Macaca fascicularis: one gene and its partners. The protein of the gene in region 2 interacts with the protein of the main gene of each other region in a pairwise test. Links are inferred from orthologs where the notes say so. Each region holds a gene or a part of one and is shown on either strand. Other genes may lie near its edges. The genes, in order: MIIP, STK16, TRIM42, ADAMTSL4, SAXO1, KCTD14 and PLSCR3.

Region 1 (2,941 bases), on a different chromosome or scaffold from region 2:
CTGGGACCCTGGCGCAGCCGGCGCAGGTCAGGTGAGTGACCAGAGTATTGGGACACCTGTGGGGACAGAGCCTGAACCACTGGTTTTAAGCGAGTAAAGATGGGCCTGGGCGTGGGCCCCCAACCGCCGGGAGGCTCCTCAGGGGTCCCCCACTGCACCCCTGTGCAGGGTGAGCATCCCGCTGTCCATCCTGGAACCCCCGCACCGGTACCGCATCCACCGGCGGAAGAGCTTTGACGCCTCCGACACACTGGCCCTGCCCCGGGTGAGCAGCCACGTGGGGCTGGATAGTGATGAGGGCGGGGCTGGCTCAGACTGGCCCAGGTCCCCAGGGAGGGTCACAGAGCAAGGCTGGGCTCGACAGTGGTGAGCACCCAAGTCTCTGGAGCACAGGCTGGGCCTCTTCCATCACCCACAGCTGTCCCTAAGGGAGGTAGGACCCCCGCTCCACTTACCCCGGGGCTTCCAGGGTGGTCTGCCTGTAGGCTGGCATGAAATGAACGGACCCTGTTTATTGCGCTTTTGTGTACTGCAGGCATAGTCCTTAGGGGGCTTCTCTCAGGGAGCCCCCACAGCAGCCAGGAGGGCAGGCACTGCTGTACCCCCACCCTGCAGGTGGGGAGACCGAAGCGGAGTGGCAGGCGCCTTGCTGGAGGAGCTGGGATTTGAACCTAGGTCTCTGTGCTTCTTTTTTTTTTTTTTTTTTGAGACCGAGTTTTGTTCTTACTGCCCAGGCTGGAGTGCAGTGGCACAATCTTGGCTCACTGCAGCCTCCACCTGTAGTCCCAGCTACTTGGGAGGCTGAGGTGGGAGGATCACTTGAACCCGGGAGGCAGAGGCTTCACTGAGCCGAGATCTCACCACTGCACTGCAGCCTGGATGACAGAGTGAGACTCCATCTCAAAAAAAAAAAAGAAAAAAAGTCCTTTCCTGTGTCTCCAGGTCAGGATGGGGGCCCAGTGGCAACTCCGCCTGACTCCTAAATCGAGAGTAGGGCAGCTGGGGTCAGAGGAGGAGAAGGATACAGAGGAAAGTCAGTTTGCTGGTCCATGAAATGGACATAACAGCGCCATCCTCAGGGATGTTGGTGGCGAGGTGGGGCTGGTCAGTGAAGCAATCCATGCGGGCGCTTGGAGAGCCCACAGCAGGAAGCGCCCTGTGAGTGTCACTGTCACCATCCTGTCCTCCTCCTATTTCAGCTCTTAGGGCCCCAGCGATGGCTGGATCTGCCAGGATAAGGAAGGAGAGACCTGGGGTAATCTTGTGGGTAGACACAGGCCCTGCCCTGGTGGGGGCCTCCTTCCTAATGGGGGGCACAGTCCCTCCCTGATGGGGGTCTGCCCAGACAGCGGGGAGCCTATCCCAGGCCGGGCACCTTTAACACCTTGCCTTCCACAGCACTGCCTGCTGGGCTGGGACGTTTTCCCTCCGAAGTCTGAGAAAAGCTCAGCCCCCAAGAACCTGGACCTCTGGTCCTCTGTCTCCGCTGAGGTCCAGCACCAGAAGCTGTCAGGCACCAGCCCTTTTCGCCTGGTATGGCCCAGATCACATCCTAGCCTGGGGTGCCCCCCAGAGGGACAAAGACCTTGGAGCAGGCCTGGGGACTGCAGAGCCCCCTGGGGGGTAGGATTGGGCTGGGGAGGATAGAGCCTGGGGGTGTCCCTCTGCAGGGGTCCAGCCCTCTGGCCCTGACCCTAGCCATCCCCCGGAACTCCTCCGCTCCCTGCCGCCTGCCCTGCTCCACCCAGGAAGGCCACCCTGACTGCAAGATCCAGGAGGGAATGTGGCTGGAACTGGAGATGACCTGTCCCTTTCAAGTGGCCCCCCTGAAACTTCCCTCTTCCCCATCCACGCCTTGCCAATGCAGGTGCCGCCCCCCACCCCGATCTGGTCAGTGCCCCAGGTCCCTCGGCCCCACGTCCCACGGCAGAAGCCTTGAGGACTGACTCCTGGAGGAGGACAGCATTCCCGCCGCCTCCAGCCTCTCACCTCTGGCAGGCGCACCCAGGAGATGGAAGCCCCTGCCTGCCCCGCTCAGGCCCGGCTGTCCTAGGTTGGGCAGGTGGGTGGGCCCAGGCTTGTCTGCTGCCTGGGTTCCAGAGAGGAAGGACCCTGGGGTGGAGGGTGAGGGATTCTGTGGAAATTTTAAAATAAAGCTCAGTGCTCTGCAGCTCAAGTCCCACGTGTGCTGGTTCCATCCTGCTCATGCACTTGGGGCCCAGAAGGCACTCTGGCCTCTCAGCCTGCCCTCCTGGCACCTGCAGAAGGAAGACATTGCGACCACCGGGACTGGGCAGTGTGCGTGCGTCACCATGAGGGTGGCTCCTTCCGCACATCCCCAGCTCTGGGTAGTGGCCTCCACCAGATGGGGGAGGGGGGTCCCCAAGGCAGACTGGGCCAAGGTTATTAAAAAGTCATTTCAGGCTGGGCACGGTGGCTTACGCCTGTAATCCCAGCACTTTGGGAGGCCGAGGTGGGCAGATCACGAGGTCAGGAGATCGAGACCACGGTAAAACCCCATCGTTACTAAAAATACAAAAAATTAGCCAGGCGCAGTGGTGGGTGCCATAGTCCCAGCTACTCGAGAGGCTGAGGTGTAAACCCGGGAGGTGGAGCTTGCAGTGAGCTGAGATCACACCACTGAACTCCAGGTGACAGAGCGAGACTCCATCTCAAAAAAAAAAAAAAAGTCATTTCAGCGAGGGCCTCTGCTGAAGCCGTGAGTCGTCTTGAATGACTCAGCTCTGTCGTTCCTGGTCCCAGAACTGGGATCCATTGATAGAAGTGCTCTCTGGAAGTCCCTGGGGTCACATGGCTCCTCCACCCAGCCCTGGGAGCCGTGGGTCATTCAGAGCCCCAGCAGGGACAGATGAGGAAACTGAGGGCTGGGCAGTGAGTCGGAGGCAAGGTTAGCAGAGCGCCCAGATGTCTAGTCTGGGAG
Region 2 (4,734 bases):
GCATATAGCACGCAGCCTAGGGACTGAGCATAACTTGGTTAGTCCCTAGAAGGGGACCAATGGAGATAACATCGCTCCCCTTACTTCTGTGGTAAAAGACTACATAAGCTAAAAAGAATAAGCTGACCTCAGCCACATGGCACCACCAGGGCACAGAGAAACTGCCAGTCGGTTGGAGGCCTCCGCAGCCCCTGCTTAGCTTAGCTCCTGCTCTTCAGTACTGATACTGAGCTGTACTCACCTTGTTCGGGGCAGGGATTATACCACATCCGGTGCAACTGGGTACAGTATCAGTGACAGTTCCCAGGAAGGAAGTTGAAGTGGATGGGGACATACTGTGGTTCCTGGGGCCCCATGCAACAGAAACCAACGACCTACTCTACTCCACAGCAGGTACAGAGTCACAGCCCTCCCTACCCAGATACCCACCCACATGCTCCTCACCCAGACATCAGTCCGCTCATCGATGACACAGTGACTCTGCACAGAGAAGAGCTCTGGGGCTCGGTAGGAGATGGTGCACCGCTGGGCTGCCCAGTCCTGGAACAGTGATCCCAGAGCTCAAAAGTGGGGCACTCGTCATGGTCATGTGACCAAACTGGGGCATGCACCAGAAGGGGTGGGAATGGGGAACAGGTGAGAAAAGGAACCTGGAGATTCTTTTACCTGCAGGGTCAGAGCCTGGCGGGAGCCCTCCACATTGATGCATGCTTGATTCATAGAACCCAAGTCCATTAAAACTGGCTGCCCCTCATCTCCGAGCAATATATTGGTGGGCTTCAAGTCCCTGTAGGGAAGTAGAAGTGACCTATGAGCATCTCTGGACAGGAAGGCTGGAATCCCAGCAAGCAAAAGAATCATACAGGCTGTTTCTTGGGAGAACAGAAACCTCCCATTTCTCTTGGTAAGGCTCTTCCTCTGGGCCCCAGCAAGCATACAGGGTCCTCCCACTGACCTGTGGGCATAACCCTTGGCATGAATGGCCTCAAGGCCTCTGCAGATCCCCAGCAGCAGCCAAAGGATTTGATCCTCAGTCAGGAAGTTGCCTTTGTCCTTCAGCCTTTCTATCTCATTCCACAGCGTACCTCTCTGCAACACAAGTTTCCCTACAGTTGGAGATGTTTTTGGAGCCTCTGCTCCTTAGGCCTGATCCCTTCCCTATGTCAAAGCCTATCAGCCCTTTCATGATACACACCTCAAACTCAAAATCTAAAGTGGCCAAACCCAGGACATGGTCCCTGCTTCCTAACATGCTGGACTGCTCACATAGCCCATGGGTAGGTGGCTCTGTTGCAACCCCCTCCATAACCGGGAGTCTTTCTGACCTTGAAGAACGGTAGCAGCAGCCAGGCCTCATGCTTAGCACCCCGCTCCCTCAGACAGTAAGCCACGAGGCGAAGGATGTTTGGGTGACTGAAGAGGCGATGCATGTCGGCTTCTCGCTGGGCCTCCTCCCGGTCCTGCTGCTCGTGACACAGGATTCGCTTCAGGGCGTAGAAGTGTCCATCATGTAACCCTTCCACTAGGTCCACATAGCTGAACCCACTGTGGGCCAAAGGGGTCAATGAAGGGTCATGGTCATCTCCCACATGGCTAAGACCTAGCGAAACTTCCTGGTGGGGAGTGGGGTGTCCTTCCCATTTAGCAGAAACCCTCCCAAGATGTGGCTCTAAGAGAAATCTGAAGAATATTACACTGTGAGCTCCTCAGGAGCAGAGATACAGAAATCTTTGAGGTCCTATGGTCGTAATAGAGACCTCTGCACGTGACAGATGCTAAATAAATAATAGCCAACACTTTTTTTTTTTTTTTTTTTTTTTGAGACTGAGTCTGGCTCTGTCACCCAGGCTGGAGTGCAGTGGCCGGATCTCAGCTCACTGCAAGCTCCGCCTCCCGGGTTTACGCCATTCTCCTGCCTCAGCCTCCCGAGTAGCTGGGACCACAGGCGCCTGCCACTTCGCCCGGCTAGTTTTTTGTATTTTTTAGTAGAGATGGGGTTTCACCGTGTTAGCCAGGATGGTCTCGATCTCCTGACCTCGTGATCCGCCCGTCTCGGCCTCCCAAAGTGCTGGGATTACAGGCTTGAGCCACCGCGCCCGGCCCATAATAGCCAACACTTATCAAGTACTTAAGAACCACGCACTGGGTGAGACAGTTTATACACATTATCTCATTTAATCCTCACAACTCCATCAGTGAGGGATGATAATCATCTCTATTAAACATATGAAAAAAACATCGTTTATCAAGGTCACATGAGGTGGATTTAGCAGGCCTGGCTCCAGAATCCACCTTCTTGATGCTGTGTAGCTAGGCTCTGTCAGGTGAGAGAAGATAGGGATAGGGATAAAACCCTTGTGCCCCAAGCACGTGCACACCGCTTTCCTTCAATGACCACAACCTTGAGGCCTAGTTAACTGACTTCCAAACACTCACCCCTCCCCCAGTTTCTGGATGAAGAGGTAGCGCTTATTGTCAATGATGACAGTTCCCCGAGAGCAGACACACAGCGCGTGGCCCATAATGTTTCAGTCATCCTCTTCAAGGACAGTCTGAGGCTACCGAAGAGCTCGTCCAGGGTGAGTGGGCTCTTCCAGGAGATGCGCTGGGGGCCAAGCGGATCATGCTGGAAAGAAAACAACGGCACGGTCTCACACAGGTCCGGCACAATCTAGACGACTCATGAAGTACCAAGGCGGAGAGCTCAGGCCCAGGTCTCTGGAACCTACACTATTGTCTAGAGAAAATGGGCCTTGCTCCTTCGCCAGCTTCAAGCGGCGGGGGTCAGGGGCCTTATGGCCTCAGGATACACAGCGGCTACCGGGCCACTTCCTCCAACCCCAGCCCACCTTTGGGCAGGCCCCGCTCCCACACCCGTCGCGCCGCAAAGACAGAGCACAGCGTAGTTTCAGAGGACGTGCGAAGCTCACGCCCACTCCTGGCAGGGCCCACCCCCGGCCTAGGAGCCCAGAGTCTGGAATGGGCCAGCCTGCACTCCCCGACTGACCTGGCTCGGGACAGAGCGAAGCGCCACCGACCGGAAGCAGTGCTGACATCATCAGTCCGCGGCGGCGTAACGGCCCGCGGTATCTTAGCAACCGCTGGGCATCTGGAGGATGTGGGGGCGCGGAGCTGAGAGGCCCAGGGCGAGCTAGGTCTAGGGGTGGACGGGTCCCAGGACCCTGGTGAGGGTTCTCTACTTGGCCTTCAGTGGGGGTCAAGACGCAGGCATCTGCGCCAAAGGGGAGCAAAGCCGGGCTCGGCCCGAGGCCCCCAGGACCTCCATCTCCCAATGTTGGAGGTAGGAGGCTTCATACCTCCGGCGCTCTGGGGCAGAAAGCGGCTACTACACTGCAGCCCGGAGGGGATTCCAGGTAGGGGCGGGTCTGGTGGCCTGGTCTCCTGATCCCTTACAACCTTCCGGGCTCTGGCCTGTATCCCACTACCTCTACTCTCAGTGGTTAAGAGCTCAGGCTTGTGAACCAGACTTTCAGTTTCTAAATTGAGTGTTAATAGCATACTAGGTGTGTAACCTCGGGCAAGTTACTTAACCTCTCGGATCCTTACTTTTAGTAGCTGTAAAATAGGTATAATAGTACCTAATGTTAAGTAGCTTAACTGTGAGGCCAGACTGACTAGTTCAAACGCCAGCTCTGTTAACGTAGTTGTGTGACCTTGGACAGGCTACTTAATGTTTCCCTCCATTCCTCTCCTCCTCTGTAAAATGGAAATGATAATTATCTACTTCATGGAGTTGTTTGAAGATTAAATTAGATGTACAGTGTTTAATACAATATCTGACACATAGCCTTCAGTACATGTCAATAAACAGTAATTATTATTACCCTGATCTTCACATCCCATTCTTGAGATTGTAAAGTCAAAAGAAAAGGAAATTCACAAGTTTCCAAGCCTTGGCACAAAGCAGTTGTCCTTAACATCTGTTGCTGAGGCAGGCAGGGTAAGCTGGAGAGGGGTGCACTTCCAAAGAAGGTGGAATGGCCAGGAGGGAATTGCTGTTTTGCTGAAACGGTGCTCTCCAGGAAAGAGGTCCTTCTCGTGACCTGGTTCCTTCCTTCCACACCCCGGATCACCCTGAAGATTTTCCAACAGTTTCCCTTGATTCTGAACCTGTTTTAGCCCTTTGGTTCTGACATTCATTCATCCAGATTTAACCTACTCTGTGCCAGACCCTGTGCTAGAAGCTGAGGATTTGAGATGAACAGGGCACTCCCTGTCTTCAGGGCCCCCAGTCAAGTAAAGCCATGCTTCTCGATTTCAAAGGTGCTTAGGATAACCTGGGAATCTTGTTAAAATACAAGTTCTGATTCTATAGGTCTGAGGTAGGATCTGAGGTTTTGCATTTCTTTTTTGTTTGTTTGTTTTTTTGAGATGGAGTCTCGCTCTGTTGCCCAGGCTGGAGTGCAGTGGCAGGATCTCGGTTCACTGCAACCTCCGCCTTCCGGGTTCAAGCAATTCTCCTGCCTCAGCCCCCACCCCCACCCCCACCCCCACCCCCACCCTCGGAGTAGCTGGGAATACAGGCGCGCGCCACCAGGCCCAGCTAATTTTTGTATTTTTAGTAGAGACAGGGTTTCGCCCTGTTGGCCAAGCTGGTCTTGAACTCCGGACCTCAAGTGATCCACCCGCCTCAGCCTCCCAAAGTTTTGGGATTACAGGCGTGAGCCATCGTGCCCAGCCAGATTCTCCAGTTCTAACAAGCTCCCAGGTGAC
Region 3 (4,722 bases), on a different chromosome or scaffold from region 2:
AACTGGAAACATATTTCTACAAAAATGTATACAGAAATGCTCACAGAAACATTCAAACATTTAACAGCTAAACGGTGAAAACAATCTAAATGTCCATTAACCGACAATGAATACAATGTGGTATATCCACACGAAATTATTCAGCCATAAAAAACTAAATACTGATACATGCTATAACATGGATAAACCTTGAAAACATTATGCTAAATTAAAGCCAGACACAAAAGCCACATGTTATATGATAGCATTTATATGAAATTTCCAGAATAGACAAATCCATAAATACAGAAAAGTAGAGTATTTGCTAAGGGCTGGGGGAAAGGAGAAACAGGGAGACACTGCTAATGAGTGTTTTACGGGGGTGATGAAAAGATTTTGGAATTAGATAATGGTGAGAGTTGCACAATTTTATGAATATACTGAAAACCATTTATGTGTTTACTCTAAAATGGTGAATTTAATGGTGAGCGAATTACATATTAATAATTTTTTAATAAGACCTTACAGAAGGCAATCGTGAAAATGTATCATAAATCTGGGAATGAAACTCTAACCTGTGTGCCTGGAGAACGGAGAGAGATATTGATAAAACTGAGTTTTGGCAAACATGTGGGGAAAAGGTGTTTCACTTTTTTGAATGTCTTATATTCCTTGCTGGTATTAACTGGCACATTTGAGTAAGAAACTGAGCGTTTTGCATTAAAAAAAAGACAGATAAAGCACATACCCTATGATCCAGGATTTTCACTTGTAGAAATCTAGTATCGATGTGTGGCTGGCATAGTTGGCACTCAGTGATTTTCTCTCCTATTATAAAGGTGATAACTATAGGGAGAGATAATAAATTATGCAGTAAATTCCTGCAGCCAAACTCAGCTCTCACTTCTGCTTTTTATAAAAATAAGACAGTATTCATACTCTAATGTACCATGACCATGAAATTTCTGTTCTTTTAATCTTTGCAAGTTGCATAAATGGGAAAGCGAAATTCTTCCCTAAAATATAGGGTCTTTTTTCTAGGGATACTGAGCGTATACTAGCAGAACAGTTAAAGATTTCACGTAGAGTTCCAGCCTCTTTTTGGAGTGGGAGTAGGATGGGAAAAGACAGAAAGCCTGAACCTCACCCAAACACCATGAAGCTACAAAAAAGCAAAGAAATATTCAGAGTGACTTATGTATAAAGCTTCATGAAAATGAGCAGTGACTATGCATTGATAAAAATCAATTACTACTGAAAGAAGTTCCTAAGTGAACCTGTATATATTTTTTCTTTAACTCTCTCTCTGAATGGTGATATCTCTTTAAACATGGCATTGGTAATATTTGTAAACACTGTCCTTCGTTCAAATAGAATTCTATCAATTCCGCTAACGTGGAAAAACATGTGAATCTACTTTTCTAATTAACCATACCCAAGTCTTTCAGTCTACGAAGACATAATCTGAAGTCCACTTGCCCAAATCGCAGGCAGAACACCAAACAAGGAGAAATAACTTCAGAAATCTACTCCATTATCCAAAAGGTGACAAATGACAACTAAACTTCCAGGATGCTCATTGCATCACCACTCCTCTACAGCTGGTTCCATAGAAGCATGGAGTGTTCACCAACATACCTGCTACCACCCACAAGGCCGCATCCTCCTACCCACCCAGCATGGTAGAGACACAGGGATTGTGACATAAGCAAATACCCTCAGACTGATATATGTAAATGCCAGCCTACGAGCTTCCTGGTAGGGACACCAGCTGTGAAGGCCTCATAACAGCCAACTTCTTGCAACTCTCAAGCTGACGGCCTTACGCAGGGGAGGAAGGACTCCTCCACTGGAGAACTGATAGCAGTATTCTGGTAGAGGAGGCATCAAGAGCCCTAGGAGGCCAGCGGTAATCATGTAGGCGCCATGGAAACTGCTATGTGCGTTTGCTGTCCATGTTGTACATGGCAGAGATGCTGTCCTCAGTTATGCTCCTGTCTGTGCTGCAAGTTCATCTTCACCTCAGAGCGGAACTGCACCTGCTTCCCCTGCCCTTACAAAGATGAGCGGAACTGCCAGTTCTGCCACTGCACCTGTTCTGAGAGCCCCAACTGCCATTGGTGTTGCTGCTCTTGGGCCAATGATCCCAACTGTAAGTGCTGCTGCACAGCCAGCAGCAATGTTAGGTGCTACTACTATGAGAGTCGCTGCTGCCGCAATACCATCGTCACTTTCCACAAGGGCCGCCTCAGGAGCGTCCATATCTCGTAAGTGTCAGACACTGGATGTGGGGCCACATTGGCTCATGAAAACTAGGGACCACTTGCCAGCTGTGAAGTCCACAGGGCAGGCCAGTGCGCCTCTGAGTTCATTTCTTTATCTAAGAAGGAGCTAAGAATTTTGTAGCAATTAACTGTATCCTAAATGGTCACTATGTATGTAGACCATGAGTTCCAAATCTAAGCACCATTAACTATGAAAATGAGCACTTCACTCCTCTGAACCCCAACTCTCTCATCTGTACAAAATAGTAATAGCTAATAGTTAGTGCTTAAGCAACTTGCCAGGAACTTCATGCATGACCCCAGCTAACCCCTCACCCTAAGTCCACTGTTTCCATGAGGAAACTGAGCCTTTGAGAAGTAAAGTTGTCCCAGGATCACACAGCTGGAAAGATGCAGTCAGGATTGGAACCTAAAATTTGGGATCTTAACTTTAAAATGCTATATTGCAAAATGGAGACAATACCCCCTTCCCATGATATTATAGATATAAGGATTAATGTACATGCTTTGTAATCTGTATGTGATATAAAAATATAAACTGCTCTTTCTCTTCCTATGAACTCTTAATACCTGCAACATTTAATGGAAAAGTAAGAATTTCTACAGGGCACTTTTGACCCTGAGGATCATATAAATACCCCATACATCCATGAACTCCTACTACCTTGTTTTTCCCATCCAGAAGTCATAGTACTCAGGGTCTCAATTACGCATTTGGAGTACTAACCCTCCATATTAGGTCCTACATTATCCTCACCTGCTCTACCAAACCAGTCTTTTTACGTCACAGATGAGGGGAGTCTGAAGTAGTAAGAGCACACTTCTTAGAAGGGGAAAGATGACATCACCATAAGATGACAGGATTAGAAGAGGCAGAAAAATAGAAGGCAGTTAGAAGGCTTTCAAGCCTGGAAAAGCAATTCTGTAAGCAAAGGTTTGGTGAATTCAGGGGAAAGATATTATCCATCTTGCAATTAAACATTAAGTAGATGCTTAACAAACATAACTCTCCACCCATGACCCTCTCATAGTGTTTGCATAAATAGGAAATCCAGGGATTCTCGATGCAAGTCTAGAAATCCTAAAGCATGGAAAATAGTGTCCACACTCCTCTCTTAACTACCTCATTTTCTGTGCAGCAGCAGCTGAACCTCTGAGCCCATTTCAACAGGAAAGGGATAAAATTGGTGCTTTAGGAAAATGCCTTAGGCTCAGTAGCTCCCCAACGTTATTGTGCATTGAAGTCACCTGGGGATCTTTTAAAATTACTGATGCCTGATCCCCACCCCCAAAACATTGATTTTATTGGTCTGGGGTACCACCTGAGCATCTGAATTAATTAGACTCAACCCCCGCCTTCAGGTGATTCTAATGTGTAGAACGGCCTGCAGGGGGCTAGGAGGGAAGCCAGGAGATTTGACAGGTGATCCAGCAAGAATCCAGGTGCAAGAACAGGCCTGATTTTGGGAGAGAGGGGGCTGTGCAGAGGAGCAGAGACAGGATATCTCAGCAAGAAGATAAAAGCGCTGGGCTTGATGACTGTTTTGAAATGGAACCATGGCCACTGAATGCCCCATCCGAGCCTAAGGCTTTTGGAGGATGGGCAGGGATGCTACCACAAGTGTTAGGAGGTCAGCTGTGGGTGCTTTTCTTCAATCTAGCCTCTCTCCTGGCTTCTGACCCTCTGCCTCCCCTGTTTCTCATCACCACTTTCTGTTCAGCACCTTGCTTGTCCTGCCTCACTCTGGTCTCATGCATCCCTCTCCATCTTAGTCTTTTTCCCACTTCCTTTTTCACCTCTAACACAGCTACCTAGGCCATTAATACCTGTCTGTTAGCCCTGAGACCTCTTTCTCGTCCTCCAACACCTCCCTCCCCCATTCTTCTTTCTTTTTTGTGAAAATGCTAGCTCATGAGCTTCCTAGTAGAGATACCTGCTGTGAAGGCCTCATAACAGTCTCTCTTTATATTATACCTCCAGTCCTTACTTTTTTAGCAAACTAAAGTCCATCTGGGCACTACATGGACAATTGACCTGTACCTCCAGGTGATCCCTTAAGGACCCATGCAGGAATCTGGGAAAGCAGAGAGGAAACAGAGCTGAGAACATCGAGGCCAGCATGCCTGGAGTTCCCAGATCCCTAAGGCACAAATTTTCCAGGTGCCTTAATCCACACAGGAAGCATTCTCTGTCACCACAGGGCCACTCCATTCCAATATACTTGGGAAGCACCTGTGACTATCTGGACTCAGACATAGGGAGTGGGGAAGACAGGGACACATAAGGAATGCAAGAAGACAAAAGTAGAAAGAAACACAGCCACAATGTCAAGATTAGTATCCAAATACTATTATGCAAACAGAGGAGAGAGCAATAGCGGCAAATTGTGTGCCTATTTACACCTCCATTCCCACAGCTAATTCATTTATTTTTATACACTGCATTTGCTGATTGTAA
Region 4 (4,041 bases), on a different chromosome or scaffold from region 2:
CGCCTGTAGTCCCGGCTACTCGGGAGGCTGAGGCAGGAGAATGGCGTAAACCCGGGAGGCGGAGCTTGCAGTGAGCTGAGATCCGGCCACTGCACTCCACCCTGGGCGACATAGCGAGACTCCGTCTCAAAAAAAAAAAAAATTAATGAGACTGTGCAAATACGTGTGTGTGCATGTGTGCATGTGTTCATGCATGTGTCTACATGTGTATGTGTACGGGTGTGTGTGCACATATGCGTGTGTGCATGTGTGTCCGTGTGTGTCTGTGTGCATATGCATATGTGCATGTGTTCATGCACAAGTGCACATGTGTATGCACACATGTGTCTGTGTCCATATGTGTGCATATGCATGTGTGTCTGCATACGTGTGTGTACATGCTTGCATGTGTGCATATGTTCATGCATATGTGTGTGTACATGTGTATGTGTACAGGGGTGTGTATCTGTGCGCATATGCGTGTGTGTGTGTGTGCACCCCGTCTTCCCTCACCAGACAGCGTCCAGCCACACAGATGTCAGGGGCTCCAGGCTGACATAGGGTCCCATCCTGGACCTTTTCGGTGTGACGGACATAGAAGCGGAAGCCACGGGGCCGGCAGTTCAGTTCACAGCGCTGGGAGCCCTGGACTAAGGGACAGAGTAGAAGGGTGGTTAGGGGCTCCCTGGTGGGAGGTTAGCTGAGAGAGGCCCCGGGGGGGCACCTTGAGGTTGCCCAGGTCACTGTGGATGAAGGAAATGTGACAACAGCACAAGCTGAGAAGGTGGTCAGGGCCGGCACAGTGGCTCATGCCTATAATCCCAGCACTTTAGGAGGCCGAGGCCGGTAGATCATTAGGTCAGGAGTTCAAGACCAGCCTGGCCAATATGGTGAAACCCCATCTCTACTACAAATACAAAAATTAACCGGGCGTGGTGGCACATGCCTGTAGTCCCAGCTACTTGGGAGGCTGAGGCAGGAGAATTGCTTGAACCCAGGAGGCAGAGGTTGCAGTGAGCCGAGATCTGCACTCCAGCCTGGGTGACAGAGCGAGACTCTGTCTCAGAAAAAAAAAAAAAAAAAGGAAGGTGGTCAGGTCAGTCGAGGTCACTGAGACCATCAAGGGGACTCTGAACCGAGAGAGGAGCAATCCCTGACGCCCATGATTCTGTGTGTTCAGAGCTCTTGAGTGCTTGTCTTGGTGTCAACACAGGCCTAAAATGAAGCGGATGGTAACTTGGGAGCAACCGATACGGTAGTGCCCAGGATACGTGGCACACCCCCACCCAGCTGTCACGGCTGGACAGGATCTCTCCCACTGTGGCCCTCTTGTGTCACAGCCACCCGACCCCCAGTGATGGCCTTCCCAGAGGAGTCCGGACAAAGCGTGTCTCCCGCACCTCCTCCTCCCACCCCGACCCCTCTGCAGACCACTCGCCGCCACCTGTGCTGTCTCCTGACCCAGCCCCAGGGAGAAGAAAGAAGGCACGGCGCAGGGGAAGCAGAGGGGCTGGAAGTCATTCAGGGCTGGGAGTAAGCAGGTGTCTCCTCTCCCCTTCATCCCCAATTCCAAGTCATCACTGCCCAGGGGTGGGCAAGAAACCTCACCTTCGGTGAAGGGCTCCCACTGGTACAGCTGGCCCATGAATTCCTGGGAGTTAAAGGCCGCGCACTGCAGGGCCCGGGGGTCTGGCTGCTCGGGGGGGCAGGGCTGCGGTGAGGGGTACAAAGGAGTCAGAGCTGGGGAGCAAAATGAGGGTAAGGTCAGGGCTGAACCTGGGGAGCAGGCGGGAGGATCAGGTCAGCGGAAGAGCTCCAAGACCCCTGCCCTGAGGTGGTCAGATGCCAAGGCCCTTCTCCCTCAGGGGCCGAGAAGAAGCTGAGGGCCCAGCTTCAGGGCGGGGAGGCCACACTGGAGGTTGGGGTTGGGAGGGGAGACCCGAGGAGACTCACCGCTTGGCTGCAGGCTCTTAGCTGCTCACTCTCCCCAGAACATCTTGGAATAGGGCTACTGGGAGCAAAGAGGCTCCAGAGGGAGCTGGCATGGGGGCCGTTGCTCAGCAGGGGCAGCCAGCCGTCCGGGTGCTGAGGGTCAGGCTCCAGGCGGTGCCCGTGAGGAGTCCCCCCCATTCCCCAGGGCCCCTGGCCCTGCTGGCCTCGGCCCCGAGGGACTGAAGGGAAAGGATCAGGGCGTCTCCCTGCTACCTGGGGACTGGCCCAACCCTGGGAACTTGGCCTTCGTGGCTGAGGGGATGCACGGAAGAAGCCACCTTCTCCTAAGGAGCGCGTGGGTGAGGGGGCCTCTGTGTCAGCGGCCTGGGCTCTGGGGTGGTGCTGTGGAGGGGCAGGCCTGGTTCTGGGAGCCACCTCTGTCTGAGCAGTTTCAGGGCTTAGAGGTTCTGCTTGGGGGGATGGGGTGTGGACAGACAGTTCTGTGGGAGGGAGCTCAGTCTTGGGGCTGCCGTTTGTGGAGAATGGCTCTGCTCTTGGAGTAGGGGATGGAATGGGCTCTTCCCCTCTAGAAGAAATCAGGGACAGCTCAGATCTGGGTGGCCTCCGAGGGTGCCTGCGGTTCCGGTGCAGTGGCAATGCAAAGGGCACTCTCCCATAACCGAACATTCCTGGCTTGATGGGGTCTCGAAGCCGGGACCTGAGAAGGTGTTTCAGATGTGGGGGCACAGCTCTGACCACCTCTGACCCTGTTTCCCCAGTTTACTTCCTGGCACCAAAGACAAGCCCTCTGAAGTCACCCGTGCTCCCCTTTCCTTCTTGCTAAGCCCCCACCTTGCCCAAGGCCCACCTCTTCCACCCAGGCCTCTCACCTCCTGGCCGCTTGAATCTCCTGGGTCTCCTCTCTCCCTAGGTGGGAAGCAGGACCTCGAAGTGGGCCACCCCTTCCCCGAGACTGTGTCCTGTACAAGGGGAGGGTTTCTGGAGAAGTCTGGGGTCTGGGACCCTGGCCCCGGGGGAGGAGGGCTTCTGGATGTCTTGGGGGCCGGGGAGGGAGGGGCAGACTCGGGCGGAGCTGCACTGTAGGGAGCTGACATGTCCGGCTCCTGCGCTGCACCCCCACCCCGCAGGGCTGGGAGCAAGAGGCCCACTGGACCCAAGGTCCCCAGACACCTTCGAGGCCCTGGCCCTCCTCTGTAGGTGTCTGAAGAGAGTGTCCGGACAACACCTATATAGAGAAAAAGGTCAGACAGAATTGGAAGGATTAGAGGGAACTGTCCAGAGCGTCCATCTAGACCACCGCTGGGGCTCACAGAGTCGCTGCCAGTCCAGGGTCACATTCAGCAGCAGAGGGAGAACTACACCTCGGCCTCTTGGTGTTGTGAGGCAAGTAACTGTGGAGTTGGCAGGGGAGGTGGATGGGCTGTGGGGAAAGGAGGCGTGGCCTGGAGAGATGGGGTGGGAGCCCAGGGGGAGATGAAAGGGTGGCAGGCAGGCTGCAGCTGCTCACTTGTCCAAAGCTCACCTCCTGATCCAGGCAGAGCTGAGGGAGGGACAGAAGCAGCAGCAGCAGCAGATACAGCCAGGGCCTGCAAACCAAAGGCCATGGGAGGGACGTCAGACTGGAGCCAGAGGGGGTGTTGCAACACCACCCTCCGCCCCCAGCCGGCTCCCCATATCCTGACTACCAACTTCTCAGAAAGCAGAAGTTACTCATCACTTCCCCTGCCCCTCCCAGTGGTCCTCTTTCCCTCACTTCCAGACATGCAGCCGTCCCAGCAACCCCCCCTTCCCTCCCCACCATGGCCCCTTCTCTCACCTGCCTGCCCAGTTCTCCATCACTCCCCCCTCTACTGCCCCAGGGCAAGGGAGGAGCGGACTGGTCACAAAAACTACACAGCCATCTGGGCAGGCATCTGGGTAGGCATCTGGGTGTGGAGGGTGCTCTCTGCAGGGACAGAAGCCTGGTGGTTACCTCTCCAGTGTCCAGAGAGCTTGGGGCTGGGAGGACAGATCAGAGTGGAGGAGGTGGTGAGACTGGCCCACCCCTTTAGGATCCTCAGGGTGGGAGCAGGGAGGATCACTGCCTTGTCCATCTGTAGAGGCTACATG
Region 5 (4,041 bases), on a different chromosome or scaffold from region 2:
TCAATTCTGCCCAATTAAAAACAAAATCTGCAAGTTAATTGGCTGTATGGGACCCTCTTTAACAAAGTCCCTCCTCAATTTTGCTCAATTAAAAAAATATAAATAAAATAGCTTTAAATTACTTGGCCTTAGAAACAAACGTGGTAAAAAACCTTAGGCTCAAGAGAGAAACTCCAGGGTGGAATCTGGCTCACCACTGGGTCTAACTTTGCCACAGGTCTGGTCACAGCTGTCATTTTAGGACAAGCACATCCAGGCTCTCCAGAAACCAGGCCAGCCTGGGGCAATTTCTTCCAGGCTCTGAGCATTTAGAAGAGCCCACAGCTTTTGCTCACAGCTCAAGGACCAGGTGTTGACTGCCTGCTTGCCAAGGCTGCTTTTTCTCCCTCCTCTCCCTGGAATCATAGCCTGTACTGGCTTGGGGTTGGGGAGAGGTCTGGTGGGTTCATGCATCCCTGCCTCCCTTTCTTTCCCTCCATCACCTGTGACCAAAGACATCCACACCCCATCGAACAGCAGTATTCTTGCTGGTATGTCATGCAGTGAAGAGGTAGAAGGATGCTTTGTGAAGCAGCCCTGCACACAGAGAACCCAAAACAAGACCCCAGACCAGGCCCAAGGCACCTCCACCAATACTAACACACAGTGGGGATGCTAACGTAAAATTTCCCAAAGGTCCCAAGCAATACAGACTAATGTCTGCACAGCCAGCACATGGGTGTAAACACACAGAGCTACAGATTCATTCCCCCCAAAATAAAATTTATTCTTTGGTGCTTCATACTTGGCAAGGGTTAATCATTATGTCCGTTCATACAATGATTAAATTAATAAAATACATCTGGATTAGAGAAAACCTCAGAGACCAATTTTGATTCCATAAGCACAAAGTAAAGAACCTGAAACGGAGTGGGGATGCAGTAAAGGAGAAGTTAAGGGGAATTAATTAGCCGGTGATTAAATGTCATTTTCCCTGAGTCAAGTAATTCTCATTTTATTCAAGTGCTCTGGAAGTGGTGAAGGTTTTTTTTGTTTTTTGTTTTTTTCTGTCATTTTAGGGAATTCTTTTTTTTGTCCAACAAATAATTCTCAGTTGTCTGCTTTTAAAAGTACTGTGTAATTCCTAAATTACAATTTTTCAAAATCAGGCTGACACTTCCAACTTCCTCTGGCTGGGGTTTTCTGAATCATCCACAGAAAGATGGCTGCTCTGCTGAGAGCCTGCCTGGGAAACCGGCTTGTATATCCTGTGTCCCAAAGCATCCACTTCCTCAAAGGTGTAGCCAGGAGGCTCAGGATATGAAGCTAGGCACCTGCTCATTTCCTTGGGAGTAAAGCTGATGGTGTAGGTGGTCTGGCCTTCCACAGGGACATTTCCTCGAGGGCCAGACCAATGAGGCTTACAGCTTTTGGTATTGATAGGTGGGTGGGGCACATAGTGGGCCCGAGTGGTGGTCAGGCAGTCCAAGGGCTCGGTGGGAAAGTCCAGCTGGGGAATGGGCTTGACTGGCTCTGTGCGCATGCTGGACCACTGCTTGTAGTCATCCTTCGTGGTGGAAGAGCCTTCAAAGCGACCGCTTTTCCTAATCTGAGGTGCAGGTCGGCAGGACCGAGCTGGGACACCCTTAGGGTATGTGTAATGGGCCTGCACTGTTGTCAGAAGATCCATGCTGTCTTCAGGAGGGACGTAGGTGATGGGAGCTTTGGAGAACATCTGGGGCGTTGGCCAAGCTTGGTACTTATCTCGAAACTCAGTGGTGTTAGAGAAAGGCATGTCTAGCCCAGGGGGCCTGGCTAGAGGTTTCAAGCTCTTAGCAGGCTCACCCATCAGGCCCCGGTAGGATTGTTTATGAGTGGTAAGGCTTTCAAAGGGGATTTCACAGGGCCTGAACTTCTCTGCTTCGTGCACAAAGCGCTTCTCCACGGGGTGGGCCACGTAGCTCATCTTGTAGTTAGTCACATCCTCCAAAGGGATGTTACAGAGCTTTGGCATGGCCAGAGGTTTACAGCTCACAGTCTTCACAAGGCCTTTTATGGGGTAATCGTCCTGGTGTGTGGTCCTATTATCAAACCTGACTGATGCTGGCTGGTATTTGTGTTCCAGACGAAGTGGCTGTCGCCTTGGTTGGTTCCAAGGCAAATAATCAGCTGAAATTAAAGCAGAAGAGGTAATTAATAATAAATCAAGTCAACCAACTTGCATATATTCTACAGAGCCCGAAGGTCACAAGCCAGTCTCCAATGAAGTAGTCTTTGAGACAAAGGAACGACAGAGCACATCCCTGCTACCACTTGATATAGTGAGATAGGCAATTCACAGCCCACCACTGGCAGGCCACCAGCCAGACGAACTAGGCCTACCTGGTCATCTGTGGGGTGACAGCCCACTGTGTCCCTGTAATCCTCACATCTAATCCACATATATCAAATATGCTACTCCAAAGGAATAGGGCATTGTATTGGCTGGTGAGAGAAAAGTGGCTGCCACTTGTATAAAACTTATTACATAACAGGCAGTGTTCTAAGTGCTTTATATATCAACTCACTTAATCTTCAGACTGTCCTAATAAGGTGGGTACTATCAATGCCAGTTTTATAGATGCAGAAACAGATGCACAGAAAATGAGAGAATTTGTCCCAGCTCACTTGGCTAGAAGTGAAAAAGCACAAATGCAAATTCAGACCCAGAGCCCACGATCTGACCCACTCTACTCTCTGGTTCTAACAATTAAGGAATACCAACTACATGTCAGTCAATTGTGCTCAAGTCTTTCCATACATGATCTTGTTTCATCTTCACAATAACCCTTTGTGATGGGCATGATTCTCTCCATTCTACAGATTTCTAAAACAAGGCTCAGAGGAGCTAAGAAACTTGCCCGAAAGTCACATGGCTAGCGAGTTAAGTTGGAATTTAAACCGTATTGTTGACTCCAAAGCCATGTTCTTCTGATACCTCATATCACACACTTAAGGGCATTATATTTCCAGATAGAGTAAAGGTGAAAGAAAAAAATAATCAAAGGGAAGATTTGCAGGAGGAAAAGAACTTCAGAATGTTTGAAGAATTAAAAGAATTGGCCATTCTAGATGTCCATCTCAAGAGGAACCTCTGCTGTGGGGCTAGAACTGCCAACACAAAGGGAGGCCTGGACTCCAAGGAAATATGCAGTAGAGATGGCCTCCAGGCATCTTGAGGACCAGACACTGTCTTCAGACAGCACTGTAAGCCTTTGAAACTGACTTTATCACACAGACCCTCAGGGCCAGCACTAAGACTGAACGTCTAGGTGAGAAAAATGGGACGACAAACCATGTGATTCAACTGCCTTGGCACTGCTGGCATTCTTTCAAAATACTTGACTGACATCCAAGACCTAGGTTGCCCCACTAGGCCCCATAAATTACCAGGTTTAAAGTAGTGCTAGTGAGCCCTTCTAAATCTATAGGGAATTCTCTTGCTTACCACTTTACTAAAGGTTAGAAAAAAAAGCAGCTTCCGAGGAGCCTTAGGTATGTACACCAACACTAGTGGAGTCCGCAGGCACAATTTGTAACAGCTTTATTGAAGTCTAATTTGCATAATAAAACATACCATCTTAAGTACACAATTTAGTGACTTTTATAGAGTTGTATATCCATCACCAAAATCCAGTTATAGAGTATTTCCATCATGCCAAATGTACCAATTATCTTCATTTGTAGTCAGTCTTTACTCCCATCTCCAACCCCAGGCAACCATTAATTTGCTCTTGGTCTCTGTATCTGTGCATTTTCTGGACTTCTCATATAAATAGAATCACCCAATATGTAGCATTTTGCATCTGGCTTCTTTCACTTAGTGAATGTAATTGAGGTTCATCCATATTGTAGCTTATATCAGTAGTTTACACCTTTTTATTGTTGAATATTACATGATACCAAATTTTGTTTATCCATTCACCAATTGATGGACACTTTGAGTTGTTTCTACTCTTTGGCTATTATAAAAAAATTCTGCTATGAGCCTTTGTCAAGAAGTGTGTGAACATATATTTTCAT
Region 6 (4,593 bases), on a different chromosome or scaffold from region 2:
AATCTTTGATCACTGCAAGCTCTGCCTCCCATGTTCCAGCAATTCTCCTGGTTCAGAGTCCCAAGTATCTGGGATTACAGGCACGCACCACCACACCCAGCTAATTTTTGTATTTTTAGTAGAGACGAGGTTTCACCATTTTGGTCAGGCTGGTCTCGAACTTCTGACCTCAAATGATCTGTCTGCCTTGGCCTCCCAAAGTGCTAGAATTACAGGCGTGAGCCACCGTGCCTGTCCCCAGTAAAATATCTTGTTTCCACATTCTCCCCATAAATATTTGCCTCTGATGCATTGTCATGGGAACATTCAACCTTTTTCCATCTGGTGTTTCCCAATTCAAGAATTGCCTGTTATCCAAGTACACTCTTAAAAAAGTTTTGTTGAGCCTCAGATTTTACATTTTAACACCACCCTACCTCCTAGGGTGCTGGTTTTCTGATCTGTAAAATGGTGTTGACGATATTTCACTCCCTAGGACTGTAGGGAATAGAAAGTCTCTAGCTGTCAATGTCAGTCAATGTCAACTCCCTCTGCCTCCCCCATTTCACTCCTGGGAACTCTGAGGCCCAGAGAGGGGCATTAACTAGTGTCAACTTTAATAACGGGATTCAGGCAATACGTTTAAATAATTTATTTAAGCGTAAAGTTTGAGAATGGCCAAGCGGGGGACACAGGCTCCAATAAGCTGGGTTCAGTGCTCTTGAGTAGAGTGGTTTGAGGGTCATTCATTTATATAAGCAAGGTCTGGGGAATAATAAGCAATAATAATAAGAAGAATAAGAAGCAAGGTCTGGGGAAGCTTAACAGAATTTTAACATTTTCCATATTAGTTAAGTGTATAGTTACAGCAATTTAATTGATTCTAGGCAGTGTTTCTGTTTGAGAAAGGTACATTTAACATTCCACATTAAGATGTAATATTCAAACGGTCTTTTATCTCAGTCATGGGGTCTTTCATCTCAGGTGCCATCTGATCTAAGCCGCAAAAGAAAATATAGGAAGAGGCAAGGTGCTGTGGCTCAGGCCTGTAATCCCACCACTTTGGGAGGCTGAGGTAGGAGGATCACTTGAGCCCGGGAGGTTGAGGCTGCAGTGAGCCTGATCTGCCACTGCACTTCAGCCTGGGCGACAGAGTGAGACCCTGTCTCTGGAAAAAAAAAAAAAAGAAAAGAAAGAAAAGGAAGGAAATTAATCTATATCAAAAGGTCAGTACTTAAAGGGTTTGCTCCATTTCTCAGTCTCCAAAGTCAGCCCTCCTCAGGGTCTAACAACTTTTAAAAGCCCTAAATAGACAGACTGTTCATTTCCTTCTGCACTTGGCCAGGTCTCACTAAAAGCCACGCCTGGCCCAGCCCCATCCCGCCTTGAGCCTTGGTGTCCCCACCTAGGGGCGGGCAGCCAGGGGCACTTCCGCTGGCCCAAGTGATCTGCATGTGGCAGGGCTGCGCAGTGGAGCGGCCAGCGGGCAGGATGACGAGCCAGACCCCTCTGCCCCAGTCCCCCCGGCCCGGGCGGCTGACGGTAAGTGCCAGGCTAGCTGAGTCCCCGCGCCTCTGCCCTCCCTTCCAGTTTCTCCTGCCCGTCCGTCGCAGCCGGCCGAGCCCCCTACTTCTGGCGCACTGTCTCCCTGCACCTCGGGCTGGTCGCTCTCTTCTGTCTTTGCTATCCCTCCTGCTCGGATGGCTCTCCTTTCGCGCCTCGGTGTCCCTTTCTGGTTTGGCTCTGTCCAGCCTCTCCTTTTTGCCCTTTTGCTTCCTCCCTCTGCATTCGGTCTTTAGTTCCACTCCCTTCTCTCTTCCCCCGGGCTTGTCCTAGTCCAGGGCTTCTCCTCTGCTCCTCCTTCTCCCCTGCTCCCCGTGGGAGAAGCCCATCCAACCAGCTTGGCCAGAGGATCTTTCCCTCACCCGCAGCCCTCTCCAACCTGCCCCTGCCCCTGCCCTCTGGCTGGGACCCGAATCCCTCTGCTTGCCTGCCTGGTCCCTGGGCTTGGGTGAGGGGAGTTGGGGAGGAGGATGGGGAAAAGGCTGGCTGCACTCTAGAAGCAGAACACTCGGGTTCTCTCCTGCACTGAGAATCATCCTGAAGACCTGGAGGAAGGGAAAGCAGATCCAGCAGCAGGTCAGCGTGGCTCTCTCTAATAGGGCCATGGTCACGTCATTGCTGTTGGCTATTGACAAAGTCACATGCCTAGTGCCAGGATCGCCCTAGGTGCTCAATAAATGCCTGCATGAATTACTGGGGAAGTGTAACGCACTGTGCATGATGCCAGGTAGGGCAAGATTGGCCTTGAACAGAACACTAGATGCTCCTGTAAATCAGAGGATATTCCCCTCCCTTAGGAGCCTCACAGCCTTCTTGCTTGTTTGTTTGTTTGTTTTTGTTAAAATAGAGACAGGGTCTTGCCATGTTGGTGAGACCCAGGTTGGTCTTGAACTCCTGGTTGAAACCCCAGACTGGACTCAAACTCTTAGGCTCAGGCAATCCTCCTACCTCAGTCTCCCAAAGTGCTGGGATTACATGCGTGAAACACAGCACTTGGCCAGGAACCTTGCAATCAATGAACAAACAGGGAATTATAAGGGAAGAACTGCCAGGCCAGTGGAAGTATAGTAGTGTAGGACTTTCTGGGACCACAATGAGACAACCCACCCCGAAGGACTCCCAGAGGAATTCATCTGAAGGATGAGTAGGGTCAGAGAAAGGAGTGTGGATGGCAAGTGAGTGAGCTTCTGGAGGTGAGGGGGCCTGGCTTGCTCCGGATTGGAGGGGTGGGGAGCAACCGGCGGTTCTGGTAGCTGATTGCGAGGGGTGAAGTAGCAGCCCAGTTGCAAAGGGCCTCTAAACCTTGTTATGGAGTCTGGAGTTTATCTGGAAGGGAATGAAAAGTTGCTCAAGTGTTTAATGCAGGGAGTGATAGGATCAGATTTGTACTTCAGAAAAGGTACTCTCAGCCAGGCGTGGTAGCTCATGCCTGTAGTCCCAGCACTTTGGGAGGCAGAGCGGGTGGATCACCTAGCTCCGGAGTTTGAGACCAGCCTGGCCAACATGGCGAAACCCTGTCTCTATAAAAAATACAGAAATTAGCAGGACATAGTGGCACACGCTTGTAGTCCCAGCCACTCTGGAGGCTGATACAGGAGAATCGCTTCAGCCTCGGAGGTGGAGGTTGCAGTGAGCCGAGATTGTACCACTGCACTCCAGCCTGGGCAAGAGTGAGACCTTGTCTCAAAACAAAAAACAAACAAAAAGGAGCTTAGGAACAGGGCTGAGGTCTTGTTTGATAAAGAAATGGAGCTGAAGATGTCCGCACAGGAAACTTTTTTTCTTTGAGACAGGGTCTCCCTCTGTCACCCAGGCTGGAGTGCAGTGGCGCAGTCTTGGCTCACTGCAACCTCTGTCTTCCGGGTTCAAGCAATTATCCTGCCTCAGCCTCCCAAGTAGCTGGGATTACAGGTGTGCGCCACCAGGGCCCAGCTAATTTTTTGTATTTTTAGTAGAGATGGGGTTTTGCCATGTTGGCCATGCTGCTCTTGAACTCCTGGCCTCAAGTGATCCTCCCACCTGGGCCTCCCAAAGTGTTGGGATTATAGGTGTGAGCCACTGCACCCAGCCTATTTTTTGAAGCATCTGGAAATTAGCTTCAGAAAGGACATCGGATGTGATTGGATCTGTTAGACTTTCAGAGCTGGGGGAGCTTAGAGTTCTCTTGGTCCCTTTTACCTTCCTGTTTCACAGATAACTAAGCTTAGGCCCAGAGAAGGAAAGCAAAGGGCCCTGGGCACATATCTAAGTACTGGCAGTAGTGGGGCAGGATGTTGGGAAGGATGGGAGTGAGGTACCCATATTGTGTTGGAGTCATGCTGATACAGGTTTCATCTCAGCTCCAACTTCATCACATCCTAGCTGTGTGACTTCTCTCTGAACTTTCCTTGCCTGTAATATGGGGATATTAGGAGGGCCTGGGAGCTTTCAGCAGTGTAGGAGTAATGAGAACATATTGGTCCATTCAAGGGGTAAAGTCTGCAAGTTGGCATTTAACTGGGTGCTTTACAGAGGTGACCTCAGGGTTAACCAAACAGTCCTGCCAAGGGGCCTTGAGGTTTTTGGGAGAAAGAGTCAGAGGTTCTGGGCTTATTTTTCTCAGCTCTATTGTTTGGCTGCTGTCAAGATGCATCCTCTCCTCTGCCTTCTCCCTTCCAGTAAGCAGAACTGTCCCCTGGTAGGAGATGTTGTCATGGCAATCAGATTTCTCCAGCAGTTCAGTTGCCTTTGTCTCTCTCTTTTTTTTTTTTTTGTTTTGAGACAGCCTCGCTTTGTCGCTCAGGCTGGAGTGCAGTGGCTGGATCTCGGCTCACTGCAAGCTCCACCTCCCGAGTTTACGCCATTCTCCTGCCTCAGCTTCCCTAGTAGCTGGGACTACAGGCGCCCGCCACCTTGCCCGGCTATAGTTTTTTTGTATTTTTTAGTAGAGACGGGGTTTCACCGTGTTAGCCAGGATGGTCTCGATCTCCTGACATCGTGATCCGCCGGTCTCGGCCTCCCAAAGTGCTGGGATTACAGGCTTGAGCCACCGCGCCCGGCCTGCCTTTGGCT
Region 7 (4,511 bases), on a different chromosome or scaffold from region 2:
ACACAGCAACAGGCCATGCCGATGTGGGTAGTTACTCCCCGTGACTTCCTGGTCCTTTTCCTGTGCTCATTCTCTGGGATTAGAACTGGAGTGATTTCCTTTTGTGTCATTCCCATCCCCTTCCTGCACTGTCCTACAGCTCTGGGGCACTTCCTGCCGTGGTCCTAAGGGTGCAGCCTCAAGTATGGATCATTTATAATTATGTAAAAGGGACACTGGCCCTATGAGAACCCCACAGCCTATACATTCCCATCCGGAGATCACACAGTTATTACATCTTATTCCCAACTGGTTCCCATCACGGAATCTCCCTCTGGCTACCAAGGTGACTCATTTTTGCAAAGTAATCTTAGGTAGGTACCTCATTAGAAGCATTGGAAAGTCTACTGGATTATACCAGTTGTTTCTCCCTTATATGCACAAGGAATTATCCCTTAAACAACTCAAGGGTCGGCCAGGTGTGGTGGCTCATGCCTGTAATCCCAGCACTTTGGGAGGCTGAGGCGGGTGGATCACCTGAGGTCAGGAGTTTGAGGCCAGCCTGACCAACATGGAGAAACCTCATGTCTACTAAAAATACAAAATTAGCCGGACATGGCGGCACATGCCTGTAATGCCAGCTACTCGGGAGGTTGAGGCAGGAGAATTGCTTGAACCTGGGAGGCGAAGATTGCGGTGAGCCGAGATCATGCCATTGCACTCCCACCTGGGCAACAAGAGCAAGACTCCGTCTCAAAACAAACAAACAAAAAAACAAAACAAAAAAAAGAACTCAAGGGTCTGTGGAATGCCTTTGTCTTCTAGAAACCAAGGTGCTTCCCAGGCCTCACCTTTCTCTGAAATTCTCACCACTTGGGATCTCCAGCTTCCAGGTTGGTGACAGAAATGTGAGAAGGATATATTGGATATCAGAATGGCAGGGGCATGTGGATTCTACTGTAGCAGGGCAGGCCACAGGATGTTAACATGTTAAAATCGTGCTTGCTCCAGGGCCTGGGCTCACAAACTCATACACAGCAGCCACATGGGCCCAGCCCACACAGACTTAAGCATCCTTCACCCCAAATCCAGGCTGGCCTTAGATTTTTTTTTTTCTGCCCATCTCAGGGCCACGTGTAATAATCAACATTGCTCCTGAAGATGAAATCCTCGTTGTTACACTTTTATAAGACCACGGGGCCATTCTATTTCCAAATGGTGGAATGCTGCAAATGTGGTCGGAGTCACAGTGGATTTGGATTGATGAGCTCAGGGTCTTGACCTTAGTGTTAACTATCTTGCCTCATGGAAGCATCATCTAGGTTTACGAAGGTCCCAAGAACCTCTAGTATTCCTGATACCTCAAAGTTGGTGTCTGTGCCACAGCCACAGGTCCAGCAGGGCCCCACCACTCGCAGGACTGTCTGGCGATCGGCATCCTGGATGGAGAACTTGGGGAGGAAGGGATGCCAGGTCTGTAGCACGTGGCCGATAGTGGTGCCTGGGGGAGCCTGTACTTCCATCTGGAGTGGGAAGCAGACAGGGTCACTGCGGAGGCAGGGGTCCCAGCTCTATCAGGTGTCTACTTGGCCCTCACTAAACCTCCCATTCCCACCTGCCCACTCCCACCTGATCCAGGCCTCATCTCAGGTGGACCTCATCATTGTCCCGCCCCACCAAGGCCCGCCCTCCTGGACCCATTCCTCCTCCCACCTCCTGGAGGCCACAGGGGCAGCAGCTGCAGCCACAGTGCAGCGGGCGGAGCAAACGGAGCACCTCGCGGTCCCCGGGGTCGGCCAGGCGGACACGCAGCGGCCGGCGGGCGCCACAGCACAGACGGGCGCAGCAGTTGCTCTCCTCGGCCGCCTGACCCAGGGGCTGCCCGGCCCCAGAGCGCAGTTCATAGCGGTTACAGGTCTCCCAGCCTAGGAACGCTGCCCGGGGTGACACAAGGAGACTTATAGAGCCTCGCGCGCCCAGGAGCCCACCATCCGGGCCACCATCATGAGGTCCAACCTCCCACTCCTTCTACTCACTTTCCACTCGCTCAGCCTTCTGGTGAATCAAAATCTGATCAATCTGGAAAGAGAGGGGCGGCGCGCACATCAGCTGGCCCATCTGGACGCCCAGGTCCCCTCCCAGTCATCCTCCCTCACTCCTTCCCACTCACCTGCACCAGGAATTCGAGGCCGGAAGGCACCCCAGGCAGTGGCAAGAAGGGGGCAGCAGACCCCGAGGCCACGGGACCGGGCGAGGGGAAGAGGGCGAAGCCGGGAGCTGGGGCAGGTACCTGGGCAGGCACTGGCGCCTGCCCGGGCGCAGGATGTAGCGCCGGCTCCGGGTACCCAGGGGTGACAGGGTAGGGAGGTGGGGGCGAAGGGGCGTAGCCTTTGGGGGCCAAGTAGCCTGTAAAGCGGTGGGGGCAGGATGGATTAGAAAGGGACCCAAGGCCTCATCCCCTTATTCTTCAGCCCATGGGCCGCAAGGCTTCGGGGGAAACGTGGTGGCAAGACGCAGAGAAAGATGGGGCAGGGGAGCAGGGTGGAGGTTCCCCGGAAGGAAGGGAGGGGCCCCACCCAGCCAGTCCGAGCACATTCCGGGAGGATGTGTTCGCACCCGGCTCTCAAGTCCGTGGGGGGATAACGGAGACCCCCGGACTTGCGCGCACACTTACCTGCCATGGGAGAAGGGCTTGAGGTTTCGGGATGATGGTGTCTGGATGGCTTAGTTCTGGAAGCGGAGGCAAACTCGGAGATAGCCAGACAGACCCAGAGACAGACACAAAGACGGACAGGCAAATGCGGAGAGGCAGCTGCGCCCGGCGCGGGCCCAGGGTCTCTTGGGCGGCGCCTCTGACTCGGGGAGAAACCAAAGTGTCAGCGGGCGGGGCTGGGTACCTGGGACCCAGGATTCCCTCGGGGGCCCCAGAACCGCCCCCTCCCTTTGTTCTCCCATCCTGCGGAGGAGGTTGTGGGCGGACGGCAGGACAGATGGACCCGCGGTCAGACCGACAGCCCCACCTCGAGGGCGGTCTCCCTGACCCCTCTGTGCCCCCGCTCACCTGGAGCCCTCAGAACAGCCCGGGTGCCTAGCACTCGGCGGCTCACAGGAGCTGGCGGAGGCAGAGGCGGGCCGGAGCTCGGACCCCGGCCCCGCCCCCCGACCCCGGCCCCGCCCCCCCGACCCGCCGGGCCCGCCCCCTCCTGGGCGGTGCGTCTGTGCGGGGAAGAAGGAGGCGGTCAGCTGCCCCGGGAGGCCGAGCGTGTGCTTTGCTCCTCAGCGTCGCCGGCGTTCCCGCCCCTTCCGCTCGGACTGCAGATGCCCGGAGAGTAGGAGCGCCTGGGGGAGGCGGCGGCTGGGCCCGGGCCCCGCGAACCCCGCCAGGTCGGCGGCTTGCGTGCTCAGCGCCCTTGGTGGGAGGCGAGGGCGGCCAGCGCCGCGCTGGCCCCTGGGCTCCTCCTCCCAAGGGCGGTCGGGCCTCGCTGACGCAGCGGAACACCCTTCACACTCACTCATTGGCTTCCAGGACTGGCTCCTGGCTCGCCTTCTGCCTCCCAGGGGCGACCTCGCCGTCTTCTCTCACTGGCGCAGCGGTGACCCACACGGGCACCTCGCAGCAACAGCAGTTTCTGCAGGTGCCCAAGCCACGCAGGTGACAAGCCGCCAAACGGTGTCAGTGAGCGTGCTCAGGCCGCCTAGAGGGCCAGAGGAGGACGCGCGGTCAGAAAAGACCCCCTAGACGAGTCTCTTCGACTGGATCCTAAGCCAGGACCAGTCCTGGCCTTGGGGAGCACTGGCTCAGTGGCGCAAGAGATGAGTTTAGAGACGGAGTGCAGTCCACATACACGGCGGGTTGTGCGGAAGCTGGGATTTGGCCCCACGGGCAGCAAGGAGTCCACCGAGACATTTTTAGAACAAAGAAGTTCAAATGTGTGTTTTAGAAAGATCGTGGCGGGGCGCGGTGGCTCATGCCTGTAATCCCAGCACTTTGGGAGGCAGAGGTGGGCGGATCACCTGAGGTCGGAAGTTTGAGACCAGGCCTGGCTAACATGGCGAAAACTCATCTCTACTAAAAATGCAAAAATTAGCCGGGCGTGGTGGCAGGCGCCTGTAGTCCCAGCTACGCGGGAGGCTGAGGCAGGAGAATCTCTTGAACCCGGGAGGCAGAGGTTGCAGTGAGCCGAGATCGCGCCATTGCACTTCAGCCTGGGCAACAGAGCGAGAATCCATCTCTAAATAAATAAATAAATAAATAAATAAATAAATAAAGTCAGGCTACGAAGGCATCACCAATAAGGCAATAGTTAGGCCAGGCGCGGTGGCTCACGCCTGTAAGCCCAGCACTTTGGGAGGCCGAGGCGGGTGAATCAGGAGGTCAGGAGATGGAGACCATCCTGGCCAACATGGTGAAACCCCGTCTCTACTAAAATACAAAAAAAAAAATTAGCCAGGTGTGGTGGCGGGTGCTTGTAGTCCCAGCTACTCCGGAGGCTGAGGCAGGGGAATCGCTTGAACCTGGGAGACGGAGGTTG

What was found.
Region 1: the proteins of STK16 (region 2) and MIIP interact in binary tests that used the Homo sapiens proteins (3 or more experiments, as listed by UniProt). The two-hybrid records come from large-scale screens. The link is inferred for Macaca fascicularis from reciprocal best matches to the Homo sapiens genes STK16 and MIIP.
Region 3: the proteins of STK16 (region 2) and TRIM42 interact in binary tests that used the Homo sapiens proteins (3 or more experiments, as listed by UniProt). The two-hybrid records come from large-scale screens. The link is inferred for Macaca fascicularis from reciprocal best matches to the Homo sapiens genes STK16 and TRIM42.
Region 4: the proteins of STK16 (region 2) and ADAMTSL4 interact in binary tests that used the Homo sapiens proteins (3 or more experiments, as listed by UniProt). The two-hybrid records come from large-scale screens. The link is inferred for Macaca fascicularis from reciprocal best matches to the Homo sapiens genes STK16 and ADAMTSL4.
Region 5: the proteins of STK16 (region 2) and SAXO1 interact in binary tests that used the Homo sapiens proteins (3 or more experiments, as listed by UniProt). The two-hybrid records come from large-scale screens. The link is inferred for Macaca fascicularis from reciprocal best matches to the Homo sapiens genes STK16 and SAXO1.
Region 6: the proteins of STK16 (region 2) and KCTD14 interact in binary tests that used the Homo sapiens proteins (3 or more experiments, as listed by UniProt). The link is inferred for Macaca fascicularis from reciprocal best matches to the Homo sapiens genes STK16 and KCTD14.
Region 7: the proteins of STK16 (region 2) and PLSCR3 interact in binary tests that used the Homo sapiens proteins (3 or more experiments, as listed by UniProt). The two-hybrid records come from large-scale screens. The link is inferred for Macaca fascicularis from reciprocal best matches to the Homo sapiens genes STK16 and PLSCR3.

The regions. Positions count from the first base shown.
Region 1 is NC_088375.1:222,764,117-222,767,057, reverse strand, and holds the end of MIIP (migration and invasion-inhibitory protein), read left to right. Parts: coding exon 1-31; intron 32-168; coding exon 169-265; intron 266-535; exon of another isoform or gene 536-675; intron 676-1,398; coding exon 1,399-1,533; intron 1,534-1,867; coding exon 1,868-1,939; coding exon of another isoform or gene 1,940-1,946; 3' UTR 1,947-2,176; downstream 2,177-2,941.
Region 2 is NC_088386.1:115,181,829-115,186,562, reverse strand, and holds the start of STK16 (serine/threonine-protein kinase 16), read right to left. Parts: upstream 3,036-4,734; 5' UTR 2,850-3,035; exon of another isoform or gene 2,730-2,849; intron 2,631-2,729; exon of another isoform or gene 2,627-2,630; 5' UTR 2,523-2,626; coding exon 2,437-2,522; intron 1,546-2,436; coding exon 1,326-1,545; intron 1,090-1,325; coding exon 956-1,089; intron 788-955; coding exon 667-787; intron 541-666; coding exon 445-540; intron 24-444; coding exon 1-23. UniProt on the Homo sapiens protein: Membrane-associated protein kinase that phosphorylates on serine and threonine residues. In vitro substrates include DRG1, ENO1 and EIF4EBP1. Also autophosphorylates. May be involved in secretory vesicle trafficking or intracellular signaling.
Region 3 is NC_088376.1:43,533,092-43,537,813, forward strand, and holds the start of TRIM42 (tripartite motif-containing protein 42), read left to right. Parts: upstream 1-1,739; 5' UTR 1,740-1,905; coding exon 1,906-2,246; intron 2,247-4,722.
Region 4 is NC_088375.1:110,697,590-110,701,630, forward strand, and holds part of ADAMTSL4 (ADAMTS-like protein 4), read right to left. Parts: intron 3,931-4,041; exon of another isoform or gene 3,878-3,930; 5' UTR 3,769-3,877; coding exon 3,749-3,768; intron 3,519-3,748; coding exon 3,455-3,518; intron 3,158-3,454; coding exon 2,802-3,157; intron 2,630-2,801; coding exon 1,933-2,629; intron 1,720-1,932; exon of another isoform or gene 1,691-1,719; coding exon 1,588-1,690; intron 630-1,587; coding exon 493-629; intron 1-492. UniProt on the Homo sapiens protein: Positive regulation of apoptosis. May facilitate FBN1 microfibril biogenesis.
Region 5 is NC_088389.1:79,947,119-79,951,159, reverse strand, and holds part of SAXO1 (stabilizer of axonemal microtubules 1), read right to left. Parts: intron 2,149-4,041; coding exon 1,145-2,148; 3' UTR 1-1,144. UniProt on the Homo sapiens protein: May play a role in the regulation of cilium length. Stabilizes microtubules at low temperature.
Region 6 is NC_088388.1:76,915,472-76,920,064, reverse strand, and holds the start of KCTD14 (BTB/POZ domain-containing protein KCTD14), read left to right. Parts: upstream 1-1,403; 5' UTR 1,404-1,431; coding exon 1,432-1,521; intron 1,522-4,593.
Region 7 is NC_088390.1:7,438,182-7,442,692, forward strand, and holds the start of PLSCR3 (phospholipid scramblase 3), read right to left. Parts: upstream 3,087-4,511; 5' UTR 3,041-3,086; intron 2,836-3,040; exon of another isoform or gene 2,832-2,835; 5' UTR 2,661-2,831; coding exon 2,654-2,660; intron 2,386-2,653; coding exon 2,150-2,385; intron 2,059-2,149; coding exon 2,016-2,058; intron 1,914-2,015; coding exon 1,693-1,913; intron 1,528-1,692; coding exon of another isoform or gene 1,503-1,527; coding exon 1,341-1,502; intron 1-1,340. UniProt on the Homo sapiens protein: Catalyzes calcium-induced ATP-independent rapid bidirectional and non-specific movement of the phospholipids (lipid scrambling or lipid flip-flop) between the inner and outer membrane of the mitochondria.